Linked DNA regions of Arabidopsis thaliana. The protein of the gene in region 4 interacts with the protein of the main gene of each other region in a pairwise test. Each region holds a gene or a part of one and is shown on either strand. Other genes may lie near its edges.

What was found.
Region 1: the proteins of AT2G42390 (region 4) and MAPR2 interact in a protein complementation assay, tested with the Arabidopsis thaliana proteins (one large-scale study listed by BioGRID).
Region 2: the proteins of AT2G42390 (region 4) and RUS3 interact in a protein complementation assay, tested with the Arabidopsis thaliana proteins (one large-scale study listed by BioGRID).
Region 3: the proteins of AT2G42390 (region 4) and RABA1c interact in a protein complementation assay, tested with the Arabidopsis thaliana proteins (one large-scale study listed by BioGRID).

The regions. Positions count from the first base shown.
Region 1 is NC_003071.7:10,605,954-10,612,079, forward strand, and holds MAPR2 (membrane-associated progesterone binding protein 2), read left to right. Parts: upstream 1-3,463; 5' UTR 3,464-3,493; coding exon 3,494-3,796; 3' UTR 3,797-3,947; downstream 3,948-6,126. Other genes in the region: AT2G24945 (uncharacterized protein), read left to right, coding at 5,629-6,126.
Region 2 is NC_003070.9:4,717,669-4,726,558, reverse strand, and holds RUS3 (root UVB sensitive protein (Protein of unknown function, DUF647)), read right to left. Parts: upstream 4,986-8,890; 5' UTR 4,843-4,985; coding exon 4,721-4,842; exon of another isoform or gene 4,612-4,720; coding exon 4,554-4,611; intron 4,474-4,553; coding exon 4,414-4,473; intron 4,338-4,413; coding exon 4,299-4,337; intron 4,209-4,298; coding exon 4,146-4,208; intron 4,046-4,145; coding exon 3,989-4,045; intron 3,877-3,988; coding exon 3,813-3,876; intron 3,718-3,812; coding exon 3,634-3,717; intron 3,542-3,633; coding exon 3,459-3,541; intron 3,369-3,458; coding exon 3,239-3,368; intron 3,164-3,238; coding exon 3,071-3,163; intron 2,949-3,070; coding exon 2,810-2,948; intron 2,739-2,809; coding exon 2,695-2,738; coding exon of another isoform or gene 2,594-2,694; coding exon 2,406-2,593; intron 2,313-2,405; coding exon 2,214-2,312; 3' UTR 2,044-2,213; downstream 1-2,043. Other genes in the region: AT1G13780 (F-box/RNI-like/FBD-like domains-containing protein), read right to left, coding at 245-526, 622-762, 851-1,786, 1,867-1,878; AT1G13760 (uncharacterized protein), read left to right, coding at 5,458-5,596, 6,136-6,194; AT1G13755 (Defensin-like (DEFL) family protein), read left to right, coding at 7,321-7,378, 7,497-7,798; AT1G13750 (Purple acid phosphatases superfamily protein), read left to right, coding at 8,468-8,641, 8,719-8,810, 8,888-8,890.
Region 3 is NC_003076.8:18,555,848-18,563,734, reverse strand, and holds RABA1c (RAB GTPase homolog A1C), read right to left. Parts: upstream 4,676-7,887; 5' UTR 4,418-4,675; coding exon 4,197-4,417; intron 3,526-4,196; coding exon 3,096-3,525; 3' UTR 2,790-3,095; downstream 1-2,789. Other genes in the region: RLP55 (receptor like protein 55), read right to left, coding at 1-167; AT5G45760 (Transducin/WD40 repeat-like superfamily protein), read right to left, coding at 730-819, 900-1,324, 1,413-1,490, 1,561-1,603, 1,700-1,756, 1,859-1,918, 2,004-2,066, 2,156-2,217 and 2 more; AT5G45740 (Ubiquitin domain-containing protein), read left to right, coding at 5,638-5,680, 6,286-6,408, 6,492-6,611, 6,690-6,760. UniProt on the Arabidopsis thaliana protein: Intracellular vesicle trafficking and protein transport.
Region 4 is NC_003071.7:17,648,948-17,656,345, forward strand, and holds AT2G42390 (kinase C substrate, heavy chain-like protein), read right to left. Parts: upstream 3,697-7,398; 5' UTR 3,563-3,696; coding exon 3,469-3,562; intron 3,374-3,468; coding exon 3,260-3,373; intron 3,081-3,259; coding exon 2,985-3,080; intron 2,859-2,984; coding exon 2,664-2,858; intron 2,574-2,663; coding exon 2,434-2,573; 3' UTR 2,159-2,433; downstream 1-2,158. Other genes in the region: AT2G42395 (uncharacterized protein), read right to left, coding at 4,619-4,855, 4,956-5,033; VOZ2 (vascular plant one zinc finger protein 2), read right to left, coding at 5,543-5,958, 6,095-6,623, 6,811-7,014, 7,131-7,334.

The DNA.
Region 1 (6,126 bases), 7.0 Mb from region 4:
CCTAATTAAATTTTTAACTCAGCCGTATAATATTCATATAACTCAGCCATAACTAACTAACTAAATTTATAACATGAAAACAACTCAGCCATAACTAACCAGCGTTTATAACTCAGCCGTAAAATATTTATATAACTCAGCCGTAAAATATTCAGATAACTCAGCCGTATAATATTGATAACTCAGCCATAACTAACTAAAATTTAAAACGCAGCCGAATAATAATCAGATATTAACTCGATCATAACTAACTAAAAGTTTACCGGAGGAGGACTAGGAGCAGCAGATTGGTTATTTGTAATTTTCTTTGGAACGTCTGGTGTCTTTTGAGTTTGGGCCTTACGATTGTCTTCCTGCGTTTGGGGCTGTGGTTTGGATAAAAACATATCTCTAATATAGCTGCTTGATTTTGAATCAGCTATGGCCTTCAGCTGCTCTTTAATCTGTTTGACGTCGTTCTCAATCGATCCAAACCTTCCTTCAAACTTTGCTTCAACACTCGATTCGATTTGACATCCAATCACATCCAGACGGGAGGACATTTCTTTTATGCTAGTATCAACGGTGTCAAATCGAGAGTTTAAGGGAGAGATCAAGTTGGACACCACATCCACGAGCGACTGCTGGTCTCCCTGACCATCCTGCTCACGAGAACGAACATCCTCGTCCTCATCAGATTCGACAGCTACTTCCTTCTTCTTCTTCTTCTCCTTCTTCTTCTTTTCTGCATCTTTCTCAAGAGAATCAACATGCTCACCGTGAGAGACCTTCTGTTTCTTAGCGGGAGATTCAGACACCTCCGCTTCTTTATCTTTTAAGAGTTTCTTCTTCTTCTCACTCGTCTTCACATCCCAATAACCTTTAACAAGCTTAACCTCGTGTAAGTCTTGGATCAAGTTATCAAGTGCTGGGTCTTCTAATTGGTCTGGCCAAAAATGAAACAGCTCGCTTAACTCAGCCTTTTCAACCATTGTACGAACACGCAGCTACAACAGGAGAGATAATAAAACCCATCAGTATGTTTAACTCAGCCATCACTTAATATAACTCAGTCGTCACTTAATATAACTCAGCCATTATAGAACATAATTCAGTCGTCACATAACATATTTGCCAAAAAAAAAGAATATAACTCAGCCTTCACAGAGAAAAATAAAACATTAACTCAGCCGTAACATAAATATTTGATAAAAAACAGAACATAACAGAGCCGAAACCGTACCTCACCACCATTCGCTTTGATATCTTCAGCAATGACCGATTCTATAGTTGAACGGGTACGGCTGCCACCCCATCTAAGCAACGGAATCTCATCCGCGTTAACAGCGTTCCCAAAACGCTCAGCGATGGTGATGATTGACTCATACGCCCAAGCCTGCAACACGAAAACCAGACCACTGACAGTGTACGTCTTGCCAATAGGCCTCAGCAACTTTATAGAAACGACAAGGGCTTCATATGCTGCCCGACCCCATGGATAAGTCTTCATGGCTTCGTCGTCGAAAACTCTTTTGGCACTCTCAAATGGTATCCTAGAGTTAGTATGCAAGCCAAAAAGTCCAATGGATAGAAGAGTCAATAACCCAAACCATCTACGTTTTTCAGTAGGCCAAGCTCTGCACGTTACTAAGCCCTGCCTAAGTTCATCTAGATTAGGACCTTCACCGGTTGGCACACGCAATTCACTGAAGAACGCTTTGTAGTCAGCTTCAGGCTCAAACTTTTCTGTAGGCAGATCATCTATATTTAAACCAGTGATATGATGAAATTCGTTCAATCCAAACCGGATGGGTTTACCAGCCACGATACACCAAAGCTCCTTCTTCAGTATTCTCAGCTGTCTGCATAGTAGATAATGTACGGTCTTACCAGACCAGAGAAAATGACTATCAACAAGCTTAGCAATTAATCCAAGCTCTGTCTCTTTCAGTTCTGCCCATATTTCTTCTCCTATTGATTCTCTAATTGCAGGGAACTCTCCCAGCTTTATATTATGATTAATGCCTTTACCCTCCAGATTAGAATCCCCCTCTTGGTAAAGTCTTGGAGGGTACTCCCTTGCTTGGTCTTCAGACATCTGTATAACCATAAATCAGCCGTAAGCATTCCATAACTCAGTCATAACATAAAACAAACTCATCCACAGATACCATAACTCAGGCAAAACATAAATCTAACTCAGCCATAGATAACATAACTCAGTCATAACATAAACCTATCTCAGCCATAGATAACATAACTCAGTCATAACATAAACCTATCTCAGCCACACATAACATAACTCAGCCATAAGATAAATCTAACTCAGCCATATTTTAACAGAAACTCAGTCAAACCATAACATAACAACAGCTCAGTTAAAACATAAACCAGACTCAGCTATATCAAAACAGAAACTCAGCCATAACATAAACAAACTCAGCCGTCATATAACAGAAACTCAGACATCGATGTAAGGTTAAACCATAACTCAGTCACAGCATAAAAAAAACTCAGACACGGATGAATTGATAAATCATAAATCAGTCGGCAAACAAACAGTAACTCAGCCGTCAAATCAAATAGATCTAAGAAATCGGCCACCATATGTCAATCAACGTCGACGTTAAAACCCAGCTTTAAAAACCATCGTTACGCATCGGAAAACGATTTCAGTGACGGGAATCACTTGAGATTGAACTTAGATGTCAGAGTCTTACTTCATTGAAAGATACTCACCGGAACTTAGATGTCGAATGTGACTTCGCGCTTACGTAAATGCGACTCCGGCGTCTGAATTTCGGCCGGAACAGACGAGAAAAGAGCAAAACGGCGAAAGAAATCGATTTCGTTCCGTCGAGAGAGAAAGTGGAAGAAAGCGACAGTTTTTTTTTTTTTTGGGAGATGATGAACAGTAAAGCTAAGAAATAAGAAACCCAAACGTTATGGAGTTTGGAGATAATTAATGACGTGGATTATGGTAATGACATGGAATAATGACATGTATAATCACTGTTTTTTCATTTAATTTTTAGTTAAAAACGAATTAAATAATAATAATTAATTAAAACTAATTAGGGGTGTTAATTGTAATTACACAATAACTGAAAACATCTGAGTAATAAAAAAAAGATGTGTTCTACTGTAGGAATAAACATACAAATGTGTTCTATCTTAGGAATTAGTTCAAATTAAATTGTCTTTTCCCAAAGCCGTCCTTTAAACCCGACGAAGTTGTTTAAGCAGCTTAAATTAAGCTCCTTGAAAGATTAAGCATTTCTGGAATTTTTATCGACTTTAATTAGAGAAAAATAAAATATTTTTTGATATTCCTTGTAAAAATCTGAAGAATAAAGTTTACTCCACTTATTACCGACACAAAAAAAGTTGTTCCACTTATTAAAAAAAAGTTATTCAGTTATAATTTTTTTAAAAAAATCCTCTGTTATATATCTCTCACTATCTTTTATTTGGTTCTTTCCAGAAACAATTGATCAGAGCTTTAAAGAAAAAGATGGAATTCACCGCAGAGCAGCTAAGCCAATACAACGGCACCGACGAATCAAAGCCGATCTACGTCGCAATCAAAGGCCGTGTGTTCGATGTCACCACCGGAAAATCCTTCTACGGCTCCGGAGGCGATTACTCGATGTTCGCCGGAAAAGACGCGAGCAGAGCTTTGGGTAAGATGAGTAAGAACGAAGAAGATGTGTCTCCTTCTCTTGAAGGTCTCACTGAGAAAGAGATCAATACTCTTAATGATTGGGAGACCAAATTTGAAGCTAAGTATCCTGTCGTTGGCCGTGTTGTCTCTTAGGTCTCTCTTCTGAGATTGCACTATGTTATGTAACTATTGTGTGTGAGGATCTTTGTGTTGTGTGTTTTCTGATTTCGTGTTTGGATCTGATCGTTTTGATACAATTACCATAAGTACCAAATTATCTATGAAATAAATCGGGGATTTCGTGTTCTCAGTGGTCTTCATATTCTGATCTTAAGGTTACTTTGTTGTGCTTACCAAAAAAAAAAGGTTACTTTGTTGTGATGATTAGGATTTTAGGAGTTTTAAGTCTCATATGTATTTGATGAGAGGATATAAAGATTGGTTTGTGTCTTTCATATCTTGCAAATACTTGGAGCTAATTGTGTCTGGTGAAAGAAAAACTGATGGTTTCTGAAATCTGAGCAACACCAAACTTACTGGTAGTTTTGGATTCGGTGTAAATTATCTTACAAGTTCCAAGTTGTTGTTAATTTTAGTCTTTTGCGTTATGAGATTTGGAAGAATATAGTTATGATGAACATTCAGAATTCATAGAAGCTAATGTGTGTCTTCTTTGATTCTTTCTTACTTCTCCCGGTCTAAATTATTATCATCACTTGTATGACTTCGGCCCTGTTCGGCATGGCGTTCTTGCGACTAATATGTTGCTTTAACGCCAAGTCTTAGGTTTGAGGGAGAGCTGTTCATGGGTAGAGTTGTTCTTGGCTCGAGTTGACTTGTGTCGTGTGTAGTGGCTGTGGCCTATAGCTATGCTTGTTTATCAAGAGAGAGGCATCCTAACTTAGATATTATTTTGACATTTTAAATAAAAAAATGCACAAACCACCACCTCCAAGAACTAGCTACCTTGCTGGATTTGAACCAAACCTAGAACATAAATGAGGAGACGTGGAGGGGTAGGAGATTCGGCACCATGTTGATCCTCAGGTAGGTATTTATCCTTTCCCACAATTTGTAAAACGTTGTTGGAGAACCCGGGGTGATTACAAGACACTACAACTTTGTTCTCTATGTCGACTAAGAAACTCAACCCAAAACATAACCCTAAATGATAGCGGTCATCAAATTTCGACACTGTCAGGAACTTGCTCTATGAAATGGCTTCGTACTCTCCATCTTATTCGCTATCCATACCTCAGAGCTCTGAGCAGCAAATATACAAAGTTGTTGCGCTTCTCTAGTCATTGACAAAGTCGCAAAACAATAAGAACGAGGCGATCTTAAATATTAACCAAAGAGAGTTCGCCCTAGGTCTTCTCTCCCGGGCACGATCTCCGAGGAAGCCGCCCCTCCATGCTCCAAGACAAGATGGACCTCCGCCGCCGCTGCTCCGCCGCTCAATTATCCTCTTCCTTCTGAAGCCGCTCTGCTCTTCCTTCTCGGGTCAGATCCTCGTCGTTCGTCGGAACCCGTTGTCGCCTGCGAGTAGTCTTTGGCTAGTAATTCAGCTCTGATGGTTGCTTCGTTCTCAACTCTCCCGTCGTCGAGCTCCTCCGTTTGGACTGTGAACACCGCTCACCTCCGGATGCTGTTCTTTCGGGTATCGCTGGATCCTCCCAAGCCTCCGGTGCCTCCAGATCCGGTACCTCCAGAGCCTCCTCCTCGTTGTTGTAGCGATTTTCCATCGTCTCCCTCATGGTATTCCTTGTTTGTTGGATCCTCCATCTCCTTTCCCTCGTCATTGAGGCTTATTATAAATTATATGCAAGTGTTTTCTATGATAAACCTTCTAGATCCGTGTGTCTTCCGGTGACACTTCTATCGCCATAGTGCGACCTATTACTGCAGTATGCAGCCTTTTTCCTGAAGCTATTAGGTTTTCCTATGGCTCCTATGCCTCCTTTAGTTCCTTCTTTCATGTCTATATGATTTGTAGGTTCTCTAAAGTTGAGATGGGTAAATGTTCAGCTAACTCATGGAGTTGGAATTGTGATTCTCGCTTGTTCACAATTGCTTTTGGTCTTCACAAGGATACTAATTGTATGCTTTGTTTGTGGTTGTGCTTTGTTTGCCATTGTTACTCCTTTATGGAGATCTATGTTCTATCAAGTTCCCCTGTTGTTGGGAAATCTTTATTTGCAGGGAATGAAAGCTTCTTTGGTGTTTGTGGATTTGCTGTTGCATCTTGTTTGGACATGCTATCTTCTAAAACCCTTGAAGTTCCCTTGCGAGACATTTCTGTCGCTTATCGTTCTAGCACCTACACGTTGGTAGCAGAAGATATTGTAGCGAAGACTGCCTTATCATTGAATAACGCCCTCTTGTTGGCGTGGAATGAAGACTCTTTGGTTTTGCAATTGTTCATGGACTCCCAGTTCAGTGTAAAATCTTTCAAGTTACTCGAAGTCACCGTTGAGCTAGGG
Region 2 (8,890 bases), on a different chromosome or scaffold from region 4:
GTCCAATGTTCCTACTACCAGTGTCCAGTGTAATAATATCACTTTCTTCAGAGAATCCAATAGATCATAAGAAACTGAGATTGAGATTAAGAAAAAATTAAAAAAACAACAATGTTTTCGTTCTATGACCGAGTTTTATGGTCAAGGAATCCAACCAAAACTAAGAAGAAGAACAAAATGATCTTTAAAAAATCAGTGTTTCATGAGAAAACAGACTTTCTACACATGATACTCATGGCCTCATTCAGCATCTAATGATAATTTGACATCTCGGAGAACGTTTTGTGAGTTTATTAAGTTCCTCGTAGATATCTGATTCCGAATAATGTTGAGGACAACCCATGAAACTCAGAATCAGTTTCTTGAGGACTGCTGAGTTTTCGAGAAAGTAACTCGCTATTTTCATATCCTGTTCCCCCCAGTCAAACAATCCTTTTATCTCAACATGTTCAAGAGTCGATACGAAACACCGAGGCACATTTACGAGTTCAAACTTCTCCATCACCTCCACTGGACATTCAGTTTCCTGAAAACACCAACAAAAGTAAAGCTAGGTATTCAATTATAAACATCCACAAGAGCCACAATGTTGTTACGCCAAAATCATTTAAGTTTTTTTACCAAGATTAAGTGTTTCAGATTCGGGAAGCTCTCAAGAAAGGCTGGCAAAAACTGTAACAAGGAGCTCGGGAACGCAGCCTCTACACGGGATAAGTTATTGAATTTGGGAATCAGTCCTACTTTTGAGTAAAGATCAAGGGCCTGCAACAAGAAGGAAAGGAAAAAATGGATGCTAGTGAGAGTTTCCCAAGTAGAAAAAGACCAAAATTTGTTGTACAAAAATATATACCTTCACTGTATTATGAGAGATGACCATATGTCTTACACTAGATATCCCGGTGAGAAAATCACGGATTTCATTTCTCTTTGGTAAGTCCTCCGGATCAAACATCCAGCCAAACCCGACAATGAATTTGATATCAAGGTCAATCATGAATAAAGAAGTAAGGTTCTTTACCACGATTCTATCGAAATGGTCTGCTTTAAGACTCATATACTCTAGTCCAGGAGCATCAATCTCAAATGTCTGTGTCACTCTCCTAAACAAAGAAAGTTTATGCCTAAACGGAATAGAAAACCTCTTCAAGCTTCGAGATCTCACACGCGTAACCACCAATTTATCATCATGAAGATAAATCAGTTCTTCAAGAACAGGACAACCTGAAACAAGCTTCTCCAGATTCATAGTACCACTACTATCCCATCGAACTTCTCGAAGATGCATGAATTTGAGACAAGGCAAATAGACAAACCCTGGATCCTCAAGACCCGAATACGAAAGCTTCAAAGAAACCAATGTCTTACACGAATAAAGATTCAGAGGCATGAACTCGATACAAGGATAGTCAATGCAATCATCAGCATCTCGATAATAGGTATTGCTCTCAACATCTAAAACTCGAATCCCGCGGCTAATCGCGTCACCAATCCGATCCGAGAACTTAATGATCTTATCTCTACTGTAATCTACCTTGAATTTTTGAAGACGTGACTCATTGTTAAACTGGAGAAATCTGTCAATGAAATCAATCAACAGTTTTTCGTTGTTGTTCTGAAAGGGGAAATCACGGCAGTTCAAATCAAGTCCGGGAACATTAAGCCATAGATTCTTCCATCTAGTCGATAAAACACTCGTCTTCACAGAAGCTTTAGTCGGAAGGTGTAACAGTATTTGACTAATCAAAGATTCCGGCAATTCGCTAATTCTATCAAACCCAGGCATGACCTAATAGCATTAACAAACAATAAATTAATCGAATTCCAAAAACTAGGGTACAAGTGTCTGACTATAAACGAAATACTCACCGTGGATTCCATTCGCCGGCGGAATTATTGGCCGGAGTTGTGGAATTAGCTTCAGCTACGAGCTAAACGATGAACATGAAGTGATAATGAAAGAGAATCACAAAATTGAAGTATTTATACGTTCGAAGCGGTTCCGATTCCAATTTTTGCGTTTCCAAAAAAATAAAACGGTTGCCATTATTATAATTCTTTAATTTTCCATTAATAACAAACGTTATACAATGTTAAACCGACATTTTACGGTTAAACCGGTATCGGTTACATGTTTTACATGACTTAGAACTAACATATTTTTGTATGTTTGCAACGAGTTAACAAACTATTTTGATCTTGAAAGGCGATAAAGCTCAGTCGAACTTAGCAGCGGAAGTGTGAGATATCCAATTAGCTCTCCAAGTAATGGAAGGCGAAAGAAGACGCTCTGTTTTCCAACCTCCTGATCTCAGCTACATGGGAAACAACAGAAAGAAAAAGAGTGAAAACAGTAGCTTTAGTGTCATAAAAACACGGTTTAACTGGTCCTAGTGATTTAATCTTACCTTGTGGAGCAATTCGTCATAGTGTTTATCAATCCAAGCTTCTCCTTCTGAATAAAAAGATGTGCTCTTTTCCATAAGGTTTGCCAAAACAATGGCATGAATATATGATTTCAACACATCTGCAGGTTTTGAATCTTTGTGCAAGATCACACTAACATTTCCCTTTATGTGAGCCAATAAATACTTAGCTGCAGGAGTGTACAACAACAGACAAGAACCGAGCTTACGTCAAGTATGGACAGAGAAACTAATGTCCTTGAAAGATTGTGGAAAAATAAATCAATCAAACCATTCTTGTATGAAGAAGCTCCAACACCATTTAGCAGCTGCAACCTGCACACAAATATGTCAAGCTTGAGCCGATTCTTTACCCGAAAATTATGATAATCTAGTATAGAGCTTACATATCTAGACGAGGGAGAGAGGAAACTCTCACACCTAACTGCACTCTCTTATGCAATGGCTTTGAATTCGTTGACCTCAATGAAGTGGCCCACAAGGGCAATACACCCTCCATTGAAGAAACCTGTTCGGGAGAGAGAACTGGCAACACGTTTAGTTAAAGAAAGTTATTGGTATATGGTGCAATAATAAAGAGAAACCAATAAAAAACAAAGGAAAGCCACTGAAAACTTGAAAGAATCAATGGCGCATTTCGAAATTACCTTGGCCAGTTTGAATGAAATGTGTTAGAAGAATTGAACTCCTCTCAAAGTTTAATGAATTCAATACAAGACACCGGACAGCTCTATAGTTTGCTAAATATATAAGAAAGGCAAACAGTGAGAGAAATTCTGATTTGATCTATGCTTTAACCTTCATTTGTGACTTACCATACATATGAAACACGGTGAGAGAGAGAAACGAAAGCCAAATAGCCATAGGGTTTCCAGAGGTAAACCGAGCTAGCAACATTCCCAATGACATACCCATCATAGTTGCCATAGTCTCTTGGCTTCCTTCCTTTCAATAGATAAAATAGAAGCAAAGAATTACTCAAAGTTCACATTTATAGTTTCTATATCATTCACAGTGACAAGAAGTAAAGAGTACCTTAGCAGATATATCCGCTGCATTGTCTTGAAGAGCAAAGTGCTGTGTTAGAGCTGCTCTGGTTGCTCCACTTGCAACACCAGCTAATAGCCAAGATTGAAAAAAGTTAAAAACCGATGTATCAATCCAAACCGAAGTCTTAACTTCAATGTTTGATGCAAGAAATGATACGCACTAAATGATCTTGATAGGCTCCCTAAGCAAACCACAACGATAAAGGCAGATGGAAACAAAGGAGAAAGAAGGTCCATTAGCATTCCTGCAATAAAAGCAACAAAGCTTGTAGTCATTCAACTGAGAACCAAATACAGGCAATTAGTATCAAGTGTGATGTGACAACTAACTTTTACATACCAATATCATTCATAAGGTCAGCAACTAGGCGCCACATTTTTGCATTGCTATCCAGGTTGGAACCCTGAAGAACAGAACAGTTCCCATTAAATAAGAACGTAACCAATCTAAATCTTAAAGAAAAGGGAAGAGAATCGATGTGTATTATGATTGGGAAGAATCTGCTACATAGGCACCTGATAAAATGTGAACAATATACCTCCAAGCATCCCAGTAAAATCCCTCAGAAACCACTGCATAATACACAAGATAGAATCACTATTCTCCATTGCGCTTTATAGTTCTTGAGAGAACTAGTGTGAAATGTTATATGTAAGCAATGGAAAAACTCACCTGAAATGTAGCACCTATAACAGTTGCGGATTTCTCACCAACGCCAATTGCACTCAAAAGAGCCTGAAAATAGTCCAAATCAGAAATGCTGCAGCAGACAAATTGGACCAAAATAGAGAACTCAGAAGCTCAAAAACTTTAGCTTTAGCTCACCTGAGTGGAAAGCATCATCTTTGTATAAGTTGAGAGGCCCTGCAACAAACATAGCCGAGAGTCACAATTCAAATTTCACAGTAGCTATAAGGCATACAAGCATATTCTCACATACCTGTAATGTGTCCCATAACTGAAACCCTACATAATCTGGAGTTACACTGCCAGGAAAGCCCTGCACTAGACAAAGTACAATTCAGCCAAACCCTAATCCGGAGGACAGATTCTAAAGGGAAAAAGAGAGAAAACACTTGCCTCTGGTACAAATGCTTGAAGAACTCGTCTCCACACATGATTAAAGCGATTAGCAGACCTATGAATCACTCACAGGAGACGAAAACCCAAGAAAGTTTCTCAATTTTGTTGTGAATCCACTGAAACTATCAGATTTGGATTGATTTCAAAGAGGAATAAAGAAGAACCTTTGGATAGAGAGAGAAGAGGAGGCAGTGATGGTTGCTGTTTTGAATAGCTTAGTGGAAGAAGAACCATTCCATTCTTCAAGAGTAATCGATCCGCAATCAGAGACTTGTTCTTCTCTCATGGCGAATTTTGGCTTCTTACGAGTGAAAAGAATCACTTATTCAAATGTTTAGACTTTATGAGTGTTTTGGACTTTGTGTTGGGTTTCAATTGCAATTGAATAGTCCAATGACCCAAATGTGATTGGACTTTGGGTTAGTAAAAGGTACGTTTTTGGCAAACGCAGGTCACATGTCCACATCATAGTCTTCTTTTGGCTCCCAATTGGATTTCTAGATTTAGAAACACTTAAACCAACAAGTCACGGAAGTGTGTGAAAGGAATGTTAATGCTAATGATCACCATATCTTTATATGCTTTGTGCCTATGTTTCTAGGTTTTGATCATCAGTCACCAACTTTATAAATGTTGTTTCCTACAAGTTATCTCTAGAACACAGTTGTATCACATTCATCTTCATCTTCAGACATTTGTTTTCATGATCTTCTTGTGAGAAATGGGAAACTTGTTGATGTTTTGGTGACTCTTGTGTCAATTCAAGAGGGAAAATCTCATCGAAAGCAACCTTTGTCAGGAGTTGCAATTCATAGGACACTGTTTGATGTGAATGAAGAAGCTTATGTCAAAGCTTCTCCAACAGTTCTCGGATTTGATGTAAAGCTTTGTGTTATTTTATATGATAAAAGCTTTACATTGCACCTTTTTCTTTGTTTCTACAGTGCTTCGATTTGTCTTACAAGAGTTAAATATGTCGATCCACCTCTACTGTGTTCTACGCCTATCAAGGTCTTTTCCTCATCAAGGTTTACTACGAGGTTTTGTGCTTCTCTTCTCTGCAATGAGTCTTAAATTTCTTTACAAATTCTTTAAAGTTTGATGTGTTACTAGTTTCTCTTCTTGTCAGGGTCTTTTAAAAGTATATGCAAACATCATTGTATTATATTAGAATATATATATATATATATATAGTATTCAGATTCATTATTTCAACTGATTAGATCTATGGAACAAATTGAGAGAGAAGAAGACAAGATTCTGAATTTGAACAGCAGCTAAAAAGCAAGAACAAATTTGACTTTTTAATTCCCTCTCAGAAAAGAAATGACGAACCCAAAAGTTCTTTCTAACTTAAGAAAAACTTGAGCAAAACTTAAGCAAAACTTAAGAAAAATTTAAGAAAAAAACATTCCATTTTCTTATCAAATTAGTTCTAATATTATCGTAGCTAGTGCTCAAATATCACCTAGGTTCATAACAGAGAAAACACATGGTACATATTTGGATTTTGGCCACAACTATTTGAGAAAAACTGTATGTATGTATTCGGGATCACGCCATCCAACCATCCTTGCAGGAGCCATTAAACGGGACTATTCATGTTGTTGCGGGAGGTGGAGGAGCCAGTCTAGATGATTTCTCTTGCATGCAGTCCAGCTGGAGCCTGCTCGGCGACAAGGACTTTGGGTTCGTCACCTTAATTGTCGTCGATCACTCTACCATTCAGTTCGAGTACAGGAGAAGCAGCGACGCAGTCATCCACGACTCTTTCGAGATAGCGAGGGAGTACAAAGAGATACTGGCGACTTTCACTTTGTAGGATAGGGAGAAATTAAAATAAAACGGCTATCTATTTTTATTTTGGACGGTTAATTGGAATAAAAATATCTGGTTTATTTAATATTGTCTTTATAAGTAAGTATTCGTGTAATAAACGATTGGTCGATTCTTAGTTTTTACTTGCGAATCTGAAGAATCTGATGATCGATGACGAAGATGATTCACTAAAGCCTCTTCTTCAATTGGAAGGTTCTGGTTCAGTAAAATTTTCCGGTTAAATTACTCAATAAGACGGTTCAGTGGTTAAGTGGGTCGATGTCTATTACTTAAAATGGATCAAGGTTTTAGAGGTTTTAAATAATGGATCAAATTAATTTCGTTTCTGAATCTGTGTAATCTTTTGTTGTTTTCAAAATGTTTTAAAGTTATAAAGAGGGCACCGTGCCTGTAGCAACATGTAATGATAGATCTCGATTTTGTTCCTATTCAATAGTATTTTGGTCACTAAATTATGTTTTTTTTTTAAGCATAAAATCATCTTTGATTTTTCTTTGATCCAATACTTATTTAGACATAAGCATTTGGACTAATGATTTTAGAAAATTTGCGTGGGTCAATCATCATCTAATATAAAGCATAGTCCACTAAATCTGATAAGAAATATATAGATAGACATTTAAATCGAAAAAAATCCTTTATTTCCAATTTTGCAACTCTTATTTGGTAAACATATCTAGTATTAATTAAAACTTTAATTAGATTTCCATGTTTATGAGAACTTTGTTGTTAGTCAAAAGAATCCAATAACAATTATACTTCAATTTCCACGTGTAAATATTAAAAAAAATAGTATCTAACCATCGCCTAAACTGGACTATAAAAATAAAAAAATCGATGAAGAATACCTTCAACTTCACCATTGCAAGATTTACCAAACAACCAAAAACTTCTCCAGTGAAGGAAAAAAACATCGACTTTGAAAATGAAGATCGCTTCCTTAAAATTGTTGTTATTGGTTTCTCTACTTTTTGCCGTAACCCGTAAGTAAACAAAAAATATTTAAAGTTTCATTTTGTGCTTTTAGTATTTTTTATTTACATAGTTTTTCATTGATTAATATGTTTTTTTTTGTTTCTTATCTCTTATTAATATATGCAGAAAATGGAATTAGCATTCAAAACAGTGAAACTTCTGTCAACCAAAACTCATGTATGCCGAATGAACCAAGATGCACCGGTTGTCCAGGTGGTGGTAGTGGTGGTTATCGTGGACCACCACCTCCATGTTGTAAGAATGATAGTGATTGTAAAGCGCATTGCCCAGAGGGAGGTTATTGCAGCAACCAATGCGACTGTGTTTGTAATTTGGTTAAAGTGATGAATAATGATGTTCGTTGCCAAGTAGATACTGATTGCAACATGAAATGTTCAAAGCAAGGCTATTGCAAATTGGCATCTTAAAGAAAACTCCTTTGTATATGCATGCATATATGATGAATGCTTAAAATAAATAAATATATTTCAATAACCGCAGGCGTTATACTTTTAGTGACTTGATTTATCTCTCTTTACTCGGATTTCATGCAAAACGGCCTAACAACAACAAAGGACTTATTATTCTTCTCTCATTGGATGGCCCATATGATATCCCAAAAGCATTGACACTTTGGATTAGAGATCATGTATAGCACGCCTTAGAAGAAGGATTTTTACATGAATGTCATATGGATCCAATGTATTAATCTTGTTTATGTTAAATTCTTGAGTAATCTTTTTCTCATTCAGACATTAAAAAATCTCGAGTTCACTAAATTTAAGCAATTTAAAATTCCGCTAATCAAAACTTGATGTGAATTCTTCTACTCCAGTGCAATGTAAATTGGCCGTTGACGAGCAAAGTCTTGACTTTTTTATATCATTGAGGGGGAATCTCAAGACTGGATATTCTAATTATTAAAGACTCTTCTTATTAATCTAATCTTCTTCAAAGTTTCAATCTTTGAGTTTCTCCGAAAGATTCAAAGCAAAACCAAGTTAGTTATAATGTCCTCACTCTGTTTCTTTTAATCCAATTGCTAGTCTTTTTGCATCTTTCTTGTGCCCGCTCGAATTGTTTCAGTCTTAGAAGACATGAGAGAATCGTTAGTTGCAATCTTGGTGACTGTTATATCAGTTCTTGGAGCAATTCACCAAGTGAAATCTCATGAAGACCAACCTTTATCAGGAATTGCTGTCCATAAGATTACATTTGGTCTCAATGAAAAAGCTTATGTCAAAGCATCTCCAACAGTTCTTGGATCTAACGTAATTATAACCATTCTCTTCCTCTATTTCTCATCGCTTTTGATGAATTACTAAACCTCAATGCATTTTTTTTTCAGGGTCAACATAGTGAATTAGTATTGGTCCAATATAGTTCTCCGAAACCATCTGATGATGATTGGATTGGAGTGTTTTCTCCTGCAGATTTCAAGTAGTTTAACACATCCTTCTTATCAAATCAGTGCTGAGATTGTAAATAAGAGATTTAACACTGTTTTGTTCCTGCAGTGC
Region 3 (7,887 bases), on a different chromosome or scaffold from region 4:
GATTGGTTGTTGTTGTTGTTGCAGGGATCATTAGTTGGTGTAGAGATGTTGAGTGATTGGAGAGCTTTGAGCTGTTTTGGGTTTAGTGGATAGGAGGAGACGGTGGTTAAGAGAAGTGGGAGGAGGAGGAGGAGGAGCAATGGCGGTTGTGGTTGCTGCGGTTTCATAGTGGACAGAAGAGGAATGTTGGAAAGATTGGAATTTGAAAGAAGGGTCTTGTGAGTTTGTCACAGTTTAGAGACTTCTTTACTCTTAAAGAGGGAAGTGTTTGATTTGTTATTTTTCCCCAGTCTCTTAATTTTCTAAGTCTCCGTAGTATCCAAATAGAAATTACTTGTTGCTCTGAGTTGAGATTGTTAGAATGGTAGGTTATTTTTTGTTATGATTATAACATAATTTATTGAAAAATAAATTGGATTTCAACTTCGTAACAAAATCTTAATTGTGTAAATGGGACAAGAAGAAAAATCTGAAAGGGAGAAGTTAAATACACAAAAGTATAGAACAAACAAATAGTACGTAATGAAGTTGATGATAGTAAAAGAATTTAACAATTCAATAATTAAATGTAATCATTCTTTATAATTTGGTTATCAAACAAAAAAATAAACTAACTTGTAGATCAAGCAACCATTCTAATGTCAAAAATAAAAATGAATCTCTTAGACTAATAACAATGTCAAAAAGGATGAAGCTTTTAGACTATTTTTATGGACCCATCAGGCCTATTTAAGAGATTGAGTAAACCTTAACTACTCTTGTTGTGTCACACACTACAAGATTCTCAGAATCAGATTGATTCGTGCAAAGCCAATTCACCTGTTTAAGAAACACCAACAAATGTTCAGAATCAGACAAAAGAGAAAAGAGCAAAAAGAACAATGTGAGCTTTTAGTTACCTTCTTGCTTAGGTTAATATTCAAATGGAGGAGATCACTGTTATTGTTGTTGTTGTTTGGATCAAGACATTTAAAGCAATCCCAGATTTTGACTGTTTTATCATTACCACCAGAGATTAAGAATCTACCTTTCTCCTGAAACAGAGAAAAGGCTACACAAGAAACAGCAGAATTGTGTCCACCAACAGAGTAGTCTAAACAAACCCTTTTGACCACATTGTTGCTGCTGCTGCTGCTACTTCCTTTTGATGATGTTCCTTTTCGGGAAAGTTCTGATTCGATATTGATCAAATTGACAATTCCATCACCTCTAGCAACCGCACATATCTTGTCTAACTTATCAACCATGTCCATTTCCGGTATTGCTATTGAGTGAACAAACGCAGGGTTTAGGCATTGTCCCGAGTTATTATTTGTATCAGATCCTGAAAGATTACAGAAATGACTTGCAAAATCAGATTTGTTGCATATATATATGGCTAAAGAAACCAGAATTAGTGGCATAGTCTTTACCAAAGTCTATAATCTTTTGCGAGCGACCTTTTGAGAAATCCCATAAAACAAGCTTTGAATCAAGTCCACCAGTTATAACTGAAAGAAATTAGACACTTTAGAAGAGATGTGTATATATAATAACAAATCACAATAAGATATTAGTTACCTTCCCAAGGTCTCCATGGAATGAATTGTACAGAACTACATATCTTATATGTCTCATTAAGGTGTTGATTTGAGACATTTTTTCGAGGCTAGTAGAGTTTCATAGACGAGAATGGGTAAAAAAAACGAAGTAAGGATACACTTGTGTGACCAGCTCTAAGGGTTTTATAAAGGCATTTCTGACCAAGGTCGATGATCTGTGTACAAGCAAACTAATCAAACCGAGAACCGTCCCACCAAAATTCATGTTTATGTAATCTTTAAGAGTTTTAAGTATTAAGAACAACTATTGAGTGTACCTTAACATCGCCGGAATCATCTGCAGAAGCAAGAAAAGACGACCTTCCGTTACATACTACCTTTAACAAATCAAAAGATGTCAACATCAATGTCATAGGTAAATATGATAACTTTTTCGAAAAGTCGAGTTTTTAGTATCTCTACCTGGTTAACTTCATCTTTGTTGTAATTGTAACTCTCTAATGGCTTCCAAGAAGTAGCACTTAGCTATGAAATTGCATAAAGAGAGAAGCTTTAAAACTAAGTGAAGGATATGGTTATAGTTAGTTAATCAAAGTTTGAACATTTTAAATTACCGTATGAACATCGAAAGACTTGATTTCGTTTCCACAAGAAGCATAGAGAATGTTCTCATTACCTGAAAAATCAAATAAAAGTTATCACCAAATTGCAACAAAGAGAAGAAATTGAAAGAGAGAGAAACAGACAAAACACAAAGAGACAAAACCTGTCTTGAAACAAAGAGATGAAACTGGTTCTGTTCCAACATCGATGATGAATTGAACATCTTTACATCGCAAATCAAACCAGCAAATGCAACCATCCTATAATCGTATGATCGGAAAACTATGAATCTTGCGAAGTAACTACAATAACGAAACCTAAATTCATCGGAAAAAAGAGGTTTGAATTAGAGATTAAGAAACCTCGCCGGAAGTGAGAACAATTCCAGGCCGGTCACGAGAAGCTATACAACAAGTGGCAGTTGATTTGTGGCCTCTCAGCTTCCTTGGCTCTTCCATTGCCGTAGCCATAACTGTGAGTGAGAGTTTCTCCGGCGATTGCTCAGTTTCAAGCTCTAAATTGAGCTAAAAAAGGCTAACCGAAACAAACCAAAACTAAACCGGATATTTTGGTAATCCTTCGGTTTTGTACCAAAAAAATCGAAACAACAAAATTCCAACCTAACAGAAATCGATTTTAGTACCACTTAACCAAAATGAACCGATACGGTGAAACGAAATCAAACCGAAAATTATGTTCAACCAAACTGAAATCATCAAAGGCAGAAACTATTTTTATCTTTTCTTTTCAACAATTCTATTGTTTGAGATAAATATAATTTAGGGTTCTGAAAATTTGACATAGCATTTTCAAACAATAACATTGATAGATCAGATAAATAACAGAAATACACCAAATGGGCATTACTCAACCTAAAAGCAATCTTCATATTCGATAGAACCGTTAACAAAAACCGATCCTTAGGTTGTTAACAATAATTCTACTCTCTGATTAGTTCGAGCAGCATCCACCTTTCTTCACAGCTGAAACATCTTTACCGATATCGATCTTGTCTCCTTTCGATGGAACATTAGCGGATTCGCTCGCAGCTTCCATCGCCTTCTTGCTCACAATGTGGTGAATCTGAGTGAGGACTTCGGCGAAAGCGTTCTCAACATTGGTGGCTTCGAGAGCCGAGGTTTCCATGAAGTAGAGAGATTCTTTCTCGGCGAATGACTTAGCATCTTCAGTCTGAACAGCCACGAGATGGCGAAGGTCAGATTTGTTGCCCACGAGCATGACTACAATGTTTGGATCAGTGTGGTTTCTGAGTTCTTTCAGCCAAGTCTCAACGTTTTCAAATGTTGAGTGTCGGGTTACATCGTAGACAAGAAGCGCTCCAACAGCTCCTCGGTAATACGCACTAGTGATGGCTCGGTACCTATTGAAACAAAGTCAACGAAACAGAGAATTAAGTTAACCGAAACATCAGGAACACAAAAAAGGCAAGAAGCTTTACAGTTTCGAATTCAGACTATGCACGCTTTACAAAACTGATCAGAGAAATGGAGAATAGCAAATCATACAAAGCAAGAAGCTTTTCAATTTTGAAATTAAGACCAAGTAAAAGCTTCAAATGAAAGTTTAAGAATCCAACTAAAACCAATCAAGCTCTCTTACATAAATAAACTAAGCAAAAACAACAGAAGAAATCGATAATGATTGAAGAATCTTAGGTGAAATCTGAGAAAGAAGAGCTAAGAATCGTAGAAATGAAGTTACTGAAACCAATCAAGCTCTCTCACATAAACCTAAAATAGCAAAAACAACAGAAGAAATTTGATAAAGCTGATAACTTTATAATCATAATCATAGGATTCTCCTATCTTACACAAAACCCAAGTTGTCAAAATCACATACTAATCCAGATCTCTTCTTATAAAAGTGATCAATACCAATGGATCTAAATCAATTGATACAGATCTAACCTAAGCTGAAAATTTACTGTCTTTGGCAACCAAACAAAACCATAAACCCCAAAACTTCAATCAAAATGTTCTAATATAAGAAACCAGATCGAGAAATGAACAATGTGGTTGAAAAAGATGAGACCTTTCTTGACCAGCAGTATCCCAAATCTGAGCTTTGATGACTTTATCATCAACATTCAAACTCCGAGTCGCGAACTCGACCCCGATCGTGGATTTTGACTCGAGACTAAACTCGTTCTTCGTGAATCGTGAAAGCAAATTGGATTTGCCCACACCTGAATCACCTATCAGAACAACCTTGAATAGGTAATCGTATTCATCATCTGCTCTGTAACCCGCCATTGATTCTCTCCTTCAAAGCTTTTAACTTTACTCCTTCAGATTCGAGAAAACAAAACAAAGAGAGAGATAAAAATGGGTCCTTCTTTTCAAAATGAAAAACCCAAATGAGATTTGAAACTTGTTGCTCTTTTTTCCTTAGATTTTGTTTTGAAAATTTTTTCGATTTCAACAGAGAAAGACGCGGAATTGGAAAATATCAAACGAGAAAGACAAAGGACTTGTGTACTGTCTTTATCACAAAGAAATCTAACATTTGTGTGGCCAAATTTACTAAACTGCCCTGTTAACGCGTTCTGATCTATTACCTTGCTCGCTTCGATAAAGACGAGGACGTATTCGTCAATTCACATTTGTCTTTATCTTTTATGTTTTTCTAAACTGATTAAAATGATAAAAAAGAATGCGTCTGCCGGGAGTCGAACCCGGGTCTATTGCTTGGAAGGCAATTATCCTAACCGTTGGACTACAGACGCTGACGATTAATTCAAACAGATATAATATACTAATCCAGAATAATATGACGTGGCAAGTAAAGTGACTATAAATAAAATCGGGGAGATCTGTTTTCACTTTCTTCTCTCTAACAAACTAAGGCCTTGAATGGTACTAGTTTTTAAAGTTGATTTTGGCTTTTGATTTTACAAAATCCACTTTTTCATCCATTCATGATTTTGTAAAAAGTTAATTTCCTAAATTATAGGGAATTCAAAATTTAAAAGATTCTAGTCATTTGTTCTTAAAATCCAAAATTCACTTTTTTGGGATTTTCAACAAATTCTATCGTAAACTCTTTTTTTTTTGTTTTTAAAAATAAAAATAAAGTTTTAAATAAATAATTTTAAAACGTTTCTAAATAATAATTATATAAAAATCAAAAACTAGAAAAGTTACCATTTAAGATTTTGCAAAATCTAAAATCTCCACCAAAATCAAAAACTCATAAAATCAAAAACAAAAAACCAAAAGCCACAATCCAAAATCCAAAAACCCACCAAAATCAACAAAACATTCATGGCCTAATTTGGCAGTCAAAACAGAATTTGACCTTGAAGACGACTCTTGCAGACTTCTCCGGCGATTCTCCCGCCGTGAAACTCTTATCGGCGGCTATCTTTCTCCGTTTCGTTCCCGACGGTCGAGTTTGTACTGGCATTTACTTTACTTGTTCGAAGCGACTTCCAATTTTCACCTAATCAAACGCGACTCTCAACGGTTCGAGAATGGGTTGTATCGGATCTTCTCAGGCCAGAAATGAAGGCGGAGGTTAGTGGAATCGATACTCTCTTAAACCTTTAATTCCGCACTCCGTTTGTCTCGCTGAATTTGTTCTCAGAATTTGGGCTACGATTTATACTTGTGTTGTAATGTTTTGATTCTTGGTGATAGTTCTAGTTTTGAGGTGTTAACATGAACTAATCTTGCAAATGTTATGATTCTTGGAGTGATTTCGAAGGAAATATCAGTTTATTGTGGTGTTGACATGTTTGTGATTCGTTAAAGATTCCAAATTTTGAAGCTCAGAATTAGTTCAGCAGAGAATTAGAATGCTCTTCAACATTGTTTCTACTGCTCAGAATTAGAATGTTGGATCAGAGAAAGTTGTTATCGATGGTATGATTGAAATGAAATGGCCGTTTACTAATGTTATAACATTCCATTTTTACCAAGAAAAATTGTTCTGTGAACAATAGACAATATAATCTGATTCGTTCTGCCTTATACTGTATTTGTTGTCTTGATGAAATTGAAACTGTGATGATCTTCTGAAGTAGATGGCTATAATATTGGTGTTACTGAAAGAACTGTTTTAAAATTGGTGGTAGTTTATATTGTATCATTCTCTTATGAGTTTTGTACGTTTGACACAGCAAAAAGGAAGAAAATCATGAAACCTAAACCGTGGGCACATACTGAGCCAATCACAAGGGCACAACTTACGAACATGCGTGAGGAATTTTGGGACACCTCTCCACACTATGGTGGTCAAAGAGGTATATATATATCTCTCTTTCTTGTAATCTGCTGCATCGCACTATGTACATTTGGAAACTGAGCGAAATTTACTGAAAACCAGAGATATGGGAAGCACTTCGAGCTGCTGCTGAAGCTGACTTGAAACTAGCACAAACTATTGTTGACAGTGCAGGCGTGATTGTTCAGAACCGTGACCTAACATTGTGCTGGGATGAAAGAGGTTTGTAATACACAATTCTGATTCGTTTCTCTCGTTTCTTGTTTTGTTACCTTAATGACTTGCTCTTATTCAATGCAGGTGCTAGATATGAGCTTCCTAGGTACGTTCTAAGTGAGCCCACGAATCTGATTCGAGAGGAAGGACAGTAACTTCCAAGAACATTGACACAATACTTAGTAAGTAGTAGAAGAGGACTAGAAGTTGAAGTAAGTCTCTCATATTCAATACTTTTTGCAATTGATAGTGAATAGAAACACGGTATATTAGTAGGAGACACTCTCTGTATAGTTACTGGAATCTAAAGTGAGAGATGGTGGTTGAGGTACAAATGTACAGAGCCAAGAGTTGTGAACTTTTGTGGTCAAAATGATCTTATGAAGTCTTTTTGACAACCAGGGGCGGATCTACGTTGTGGGTAGGTAGGGCACGTGCCCTACACAAGGTTTATAAAGTTTATCTTGGAATACAACTGATATATTTGAAGCTAGCGTTAGTGGTTGTGTCCCCACACTCTTTCAATCCGTGCTTGGGTTCGAGTCTAGGTAGCAGATACCTTTTTTTTTTTAACATTGTCTTTTTCTTCTACCACAAACATTAATTTGAATTATCTAATGTTACACTTAGCTCAAACTTCCTTATTTAGTTAAAGTTTATGTTGATACTAGATAAGGCCCGCCTATTTAGGCGGGTGTACCGAAAATTTTCAAATACTTGAACGGGTCTAAACTTCAAAACCCGAAAAACTCGAACCCGAACCCGAATAGGTATCCAAACATATTTCAAATATAAGTATATATTAGTTATATTTACACTTATATATAGAAAATATTAGGATTTTTTGGATATTTTAGTTATTTTTGTGTCTTTTTAGATATATTCAAGCAAAACTACTGGTGTTGTTTTGAGAATTTTTGAAATTTTGAAGTAATTTAATAGATTTGCACACAAAATTTGATATTTCAATATATAAATAAACTCGAATCCGAACCCGAACCCGACCCGAAATCTTAAACTACCCGAACGGGTCCTAAACTTCTAAACCCGAAAACCCTAACCCGAAATACCCGACCCGAATACCCAAACGCCCAGGGCTAATAATTAATAGAAAAAAGAAATCCACAAAAATATTTAGAAACCAAACATTGTTGAAAATATATTTTCTATATATAGCGTAATCTCGTAAGTTAATTTTACATCATGCAAATTAATATTAACTGAGTTAAAATTAATAAATGAAAATAATTGAAAAGTTAAATCCTGTAAGCTAAGCTATTTT
Region 4 (7,398 bases):
CCAAAATGGCTATGTTTAACAAATGATAGTTATATAAATAGAAGGAAGTAAAAAAACAGAATTAATGAAGGAGATAAATAGAGATATATATATATATACATGAGATATATATTATGTAAAATCTTATGAAAGAACATAATAAATTCGATGTGATCAAAGTGTTTAATTTATCTCTCTGAGTAGGGCCACATGGAGGGAGATATTGAGATCGGACAGCTATGAAACAGCTGTCTTGAGAAGTGAGGCTAAAGGTCTCAACGGTATAACTGGAAATTCTCCTCCACTGGTTTTTTTCTTTTTAATCTATGTAAAGAGATTTGGAGGAGGAATCAAGCAAGCACGTGTTCTTGTGACCTTTCTTTTGTTGAATGGTTAATACGTTTCTTTCTTATGAATGGTTTTTCGATAGGTTCATGTAAATGCAATATCTCGTATTTGTTGCAAATCATATGTGTCAATTAATAATTTTGGTACATGTAAACCTACGTCAAGCAAGTACAATGAATACATGAGTTAATAGCACACAGTATCATCTATATATAGAATAATAGAATTAAGTCGAGTTGATAAACATGACTTAATTTATTGGAAAACAAATCCGACGACTTAGCTTATTTATCACATATCTTTCACCATGGTAATGGATTATCTTGTTACCATCACTGCTATGAGGAGGGCTAAACAATGCATGGAGAAAGTAGGGTAGTGGACGAGTGGAGAGAGAGTGAAGAGTATAATGTTGATGTGTGAGTCCATGTGATTTGTTTTCTGTACTCTTTTTTTCCCCTCTATATTTGCTTTGTCCCAGACCACACCCACATGTAGGACACTTGCTACTTTTTTTTTCTCTCTTAAATCGTATAATTTTGGATATTTTGTCTGTCCAATTTTTTACTTTTCCGGATCGATAGGAATATTTAACGGAATCTATATTTTTTTGTTTTGTTGAAATGTTAAAATTATAAATCAAACTTGAGAAAGTTATATGTACATGTATTTACGGAATATATAGTCAGTGAATTATTTCTCTAAATGTGTGTCGGACAGTAATCTCATAGAAATATTTTCATGATTATCAAAACCAAACGATTTTGTTTTAAAGGAGGAAATCACACATCATCTGTTATGTCATTTCCAAATAATTCCTTCAAGATCATCATCCCTAATATAACCATTAGCATCTTCAGTTTACAAATATCTTAGCGACCAACCTCTAGCTAAACTCCATGAGCTACTCAAGTTTTTCTTTTACCTCTAAGTCTGTCCTTAACAGTGTGAAGAAGTTCCATCGCCTTGTCTAGTACATAAGCTTTAAGTTTCACCTTTCGACCTAACAGTGTGAAGAAGTTCTTTTACCTTCAAGTTGCACTGGGGACTTGATTCATACAACATACGTTGACATCAGGCTACCATTGCTAGTTCTTGTTTCGAGAGAGAAGCGGCCTATTTACGATTCAATACACATCCATGGAGGTAATATATTACAGCTAAATTTGAAGCTTTATGACAGAATCATGCATTTGCTCTGTATGTGTTTACCTGTGACACTCTTTGTGTTAAGGCTTGGCATATTGCTGTTTATGTTTTAGTAGAATGAAAATTCTTACAGAATCTGCACTGGCGAAATCTTGGTCTGCTTCACTCGTTAGAGGTGACCTTAAACTAAACTATGTGACTAGTTTTCCGTTGAGAAGTGAAGAAAGCAGCTGTCGAAGTGCAACTCAAGAAAATGGAGGTAAAATAAACTTAGCAATAGAGAGCTGATACTGTTTCAATGTGATTGAGAACAATGAGAAGTGAAGTGTTTGTGAATTTGTTTCACTGCAGGAGGAACTAGAGAAGAAGAAAGCAGGAGTATGCAGAGAGGATGAATTAGGTTTCAGTGACTCACAAGGAAGCAGAAGAAAGAAGTGCAATGATTGAAGGTAAGCGTGGAGAAGCAAGAAGAAACGGCTGCTAAAATACTGGGCCATTAGAATTGTTCCAAAGGCAACTTGTGGATGTTTCCAATCTTGAGTTTACAAATCATTTTTTCAGGATTTTTTAACTGTAAATTTCTCTCTTCTCTTCAATGGCTTGTAATGTTTTTTGTATATTGATTTTGTCTGTGAGAAACAAACAAGAGTTCATTTTCATAAAACCTTATATCAGTCGAATAATTCACCATGAGATCATTCAAATTGTGAATCCATCCATTTTCTAGAAAATCTGCAGATCATGTGACTATCTTACTTGTGATAAGACTCATCGGTACCTACTATGGTCTGAGGATCTGAAGGCTTAATAAACATGAAGACCAAGACAATTATGTAACTAGGAACAAACAATCTCACACTGAATAAGTATAGCTAGTAATGACACTTGACATATGTGGCTTTAACACTCAGGTTCCACGTAAAAGCTTCACAAAAGTATAATACAAGTTCCAGGGAGTTAGTTAGCTGATCTATTAATGGGAGGTACATTCTTCAGCAGATAGCGTCGTCTCTTAGACCGAGCACGACTCCTAAGCATCCATAAGATCACTAAGAAACCGATAAAAACCATCTGAAGAGCGAAAACAAGCTTCATACCTGGAAACAACAACAACAACAATTGTTTTTGTATCAGTTTGCTAGACAATCAAACAAAACAAATAAGCTTCCCAAGAAAAGTTGCAAAACCTTGTAGATTCTTGACCATGTCCTGAAGATTTCCTATAGTATAAAACTCCTTTGGATGAGGCGTTGAACCGAGTTGCAAGTGTATAGATTTAAGGTTGGCTCTAGGTTTGTAGATGTAGTTAACGTTACCACCCATTATACAAGTGTTGGGACAATGAATGCTACTTTCGTACTCGTCGCTTCCATCGCAGCAATCTGAGAAACAGACAATGTCATGCTGCTTATCCAATCCAACAAAAACATGTAGATTACTAGCATACAGCAAGAGACAGCTGAAACGAGAATCATTTAGTCGAATTCAGAACATTAGTAACTACTGACCACAGATTCGATCATTCACACGAGAAGAGTAAACGAACTTTGGAGAACTTCCAATGTTCCTACAGTAAAATTTGCCATTTGGACATGCCGAAGTTCCTGTAATGCAAAATCAGAAATTCAGAAACTTACTCACAAGAACACATTTTTCATAATTGAAATTGTGAAAGAGAATAAGATTCGATCAATTCTAGTCCTAAATCTTTTTATCTGGAAAGAATTTAAAGTCTCATGTCATCTCAGCTCTCTGGATTCTAAATTGAGAAAAAAGTGTGTACCAGGCTCATCGGTGCCGTCGAGACAATCGCAGAAGTTGTCGTTGAGACGATCTCTTGTGAAAGATTTGGAGCCATCTTTGCATTTGATAACATCTGAGTCGAAATACTTTTCATCTGCCTCACAACAAAGAAGTAAGTAAGAATCAGAGAACAAGAACATTTTTCAGATTTGTCGATATAATAAAGATAAGAGTCATCGAAGAAGTAACCTAAAGGGTGAACACCAACGAGGGGAGAGGTCGAAGCGACGGAGATGACGACGACGGCGAGTGACGAACACAACACGACGCATTGCAGCAGCATCCGTTGACTCGCATTTGGTTAAACCGACGTCGTTTTAAGATTCGAGTGGATTATTCCGACCAGATTCTCTCTTTACGATTTCGGCTTTTAAGTTTCAAGTTAAGAATAAGTGGAGTGGCCAGATATTTGATTCGATGGGCTTTGAATTATATTGGGCTTTGAGTTTTCATTTAATACTACAGTGTTCAGTATTCGACTATTAAGAAAAGAAAAAAAATCTACAATTCAGGTTATTATTAAAACTTGATTTAATTCTTGATTAATAAACTAAATTAATTTGATTATTTTAGTTTGGTTCATTTTTTCTTCTAAGTTTTTTTTTCAATGTGAATCAAAACTCTTACTCAAACGTTCTTAAATTGTGTTTGTACTACGGAGTCCCATCACCTCTTGGCTCTTGTTCAAGAGCAAAAAGTTGAGAAACATCCAAGCCTTCAAGAATGAGACCATCAACACCATTTTGAAATCAAGTAATGGCTGGAGAAGGCATAACAACTTGAACAGAAGAAGTTTGAACCACGAGTGAAAGAAGTGTAATTCGAAAGACTTCAAGTCACGGTTATTTGCGGTTAGCTGGTAATGAAGAATGAACCACTCTAAGAAGCAACCAACTTCTACAACATAAAACAGTTGTGAGCCGTTGTGATTTTGTAGTTAAGTTGACTGCTTTTCTTCTTATATACCTTCTTCTCTAGACTATGTCCATTTTATCTCACAAGTGATTTTTCACAAGACATTAGATCCCACGAGTCATAAGTAACACACAGAGCCAACACTTAGCACCTAAACCATTAACCTAAACAACTTTTAGTTCCTCCTTCTAGTTCTCCCTCTAAAAATCATGGACTCGGACAAGAATAGACCAACAAGACTGACTTCTCCATTATTACCCTTTTGCATCTCCTATTCATTTGTCCTAGTCTGGTCCATACACCCAAAGCAATGGACCTCAAAATATGATAAAAAAATGTGACAATACAAGTCTATTTCTTACTAACCAGTAAACCAAACCAAAGAATTTCAAATTAGAGCAACCTAAGCCTCATCCTCCTCTGTTCAAGTTGTTGTTGTTGTTCTTGCCTTCATTCTTTTCTGAGATTCTCTGAGATATGCTTCAGCTTTTCTACCTTTTAAAAGTTCCCTGAAAACCTTTGTCACAGTGGTTTGTTCTACACCATGAATCTCCTTCATGAAATTGATCATCTCAGGAAGAGTGTAGAAATTTTCACAGCAGAACAAGTAGCTATCTCTCACTTTCTCCTCTTCCTTGCTCAAAACAGGTTGACTACTTTGCTGTTCATTTACGACACAAATTGTATGAATCAGTGAGAATTAGTGAATTACAAATACGTAAAATCAAATACATAATTCATCAGCCAGAATTTTGAATTACTTGTGCTTCAGTAGTCGTCGTAACACACTTTCCCTCTGATTTCTCTGCTTCAAACGAGCTACCAGAATTTTTCGCCATTACTCTCTCTGTTGGTGATTTGCTTGTAATTTAGGGTTTAAAGAGAACAAGGATGCTCTTGTCGTCTGCTGTCTCCCTTTTTCTAGCCCAATTTTATAAACGGCCCAGTAAAGCCCAATTACATAATCTGAGAGCATTAGTGACTTGTATTGGTTTCAAGTTTCATTCACACACACACGTAGATAAGAATTGGAATAAAGAATCAATGGTGTTGCAAATGTACCTTTGAAATATGAATACACCACTTCGTTAACAAAATCCTTGTGGTTTTAAAGGAGAAAAATAAAATGCAAAAATTTACAAACCCATCTACGATTCTATCAAGAAAAAGGGCAAAGACCAGACTTGTCCATATTAACACAACACATCAAAGATCCTATCTCTTCATAATACAGTCAGAAAGAAAAAAAAAAAGAAAACAGAGGTGGCGATGGCTCTTTTGTAGAATGCTGGAGACAACTTGGAGCTATTGTTGCAGGAGTCTTGAGTTAGATTACCAATAGCTAACTTCACTCCTTACGACCTTTGGTTGGAGGAGAGGGTTTGTCTGAAGCCACTTTAAACTGTCCCATCTTCTTCTGCAGATCAGCCAGAGGGTCTTTTGAAATCTTTCCCTTAGGACTCTTCTTTCCATTTCCTACTTTAAGTTCTAGGCGATATAACGCACATGCGTCAGATTCATTGATTTGGTATTCAAAGAGATGCCACTCAAAGGGACCTGGAGGTTGTGGATCCATATAGTAAGATCTCTTCTGGCCTTCTTGTTCCTTCATCAGTTGTTTTCTTGATTCATGCCAACCTCTTCCACTGTAATCTGGAAGTGATCTTTGCTTTCGGTTTCCGCTATCATATGCTCTTCTAGGTTTGTCAAAGAAGAGCCACTCTCTAATTGTTTCGCCTTCAACCAGTTCAAGATGAAATAGCTCTGCAAGTACAAAAAATTAAGGGTCAGGCAAAAGTAAGAAACTCACATAAGGCTTCTGTTTTCAAAGAGGCAACGAAATGTTGAACTAAAACAAAGAGAGAAGCAAAACTGGGCTCTAGTGGGACAATGCTCTCACCTGCTGCGTTCCATGGGCATTTTGTGTTAACAGCTCCTTCACACACTGGGATCCCAACATTCTTACCCTGAGTCTTTGCACGAAGAGCATCAATCAATAGATTATCTTTCAAACTGATGCCCCCTGGCCTCAATACAGGTGCTGTGCCAGGCGAATCTTCATTCAGAGCTAGAGTCCCATGGTAGTTACTGCAGTAATCCAGGTACCACTCGGAGCCCTGAGCAGGCCTTGTGCAATCCCATAGTGCACACTTAGGTCCCAGAAAAGCAGATGGAGGCACACGGACACTTGATGGAGTAGAAAATTCAGCAAAGTTGTCAATCTCTTCAGAAGAATCAAGCTTAGTGGAAGGGCTGTTATCTAGTTCCTGACGCACTTCGGAGAAAATATAATCATACTGAGAAGTTATATCCAAGTTGCTGCTGAGTTTTTGGTCATGGAAATCAGGAGCGGAGTTTATGCTTGGATCAAACCCTTCATATCCATAATGGAGTTGCTGGCCATGTGTTTCTGTGCTATTAAGAGCATCCTGAGATAGAAAAGGTGAACTTGTACATAAGGAAACAAAATCAAAACTAAGACAAGAATGAAAAAGATCAAAACTCATAGCTGAACTGGAATAAAGAATCAACGGTGTTCAAATGTCTAGGAACATCTAACCAACAATCAAAAGATTATAGAAGACAATTTTGACGCAGAAACTGTATCTAGCTCACCTCAAAGCCGCAGGAGAAATTTCCGTTGAAAGGACTTTGACTAAAATTCTCAGATGTCCATTCAGGAGGGCACAAGCTTTGAGAAAAACCCTCAGGATCAGGCTTTGCTCCAGCATGTTCTTTTAGCGTACTAGTTGCATCATCCTCCTCGTCTAATTTCAACAGAGGAGCAAACTCCTCAAGGAATTGGCTAATACCTTCACCCTGCAACATGTTAAAGACCAAAAGAGCTAAATCTCAACCAAGCTTACAGATTCACTATTTTTCAAAGAATTGGAACCATAAACCATAGAGAAGTATGGTAATGGAGTAGGACGAACCAACAGAGAAGATTCAGGAGAAGGAGCAGTGAGTTCAGCTTGCCACTCCCGAATATTCTGAGAGATTTGGGCTTCTAAAAGCGCAAGGTCACCATGCCGCCCTTCTTTCCTAGCAGCTTGAAGATGACAGAACCTCTCCTGAAGTTCCCTTAGCTTCTCCTCCACATTCTGATGCGCCGATGTGATCTTCGGGTGGTTTGACATCTCCTCTAAACCCTGACCAAAACCATTCTCAAAAATCAACTAAAATCTTAACCACAAAATACCT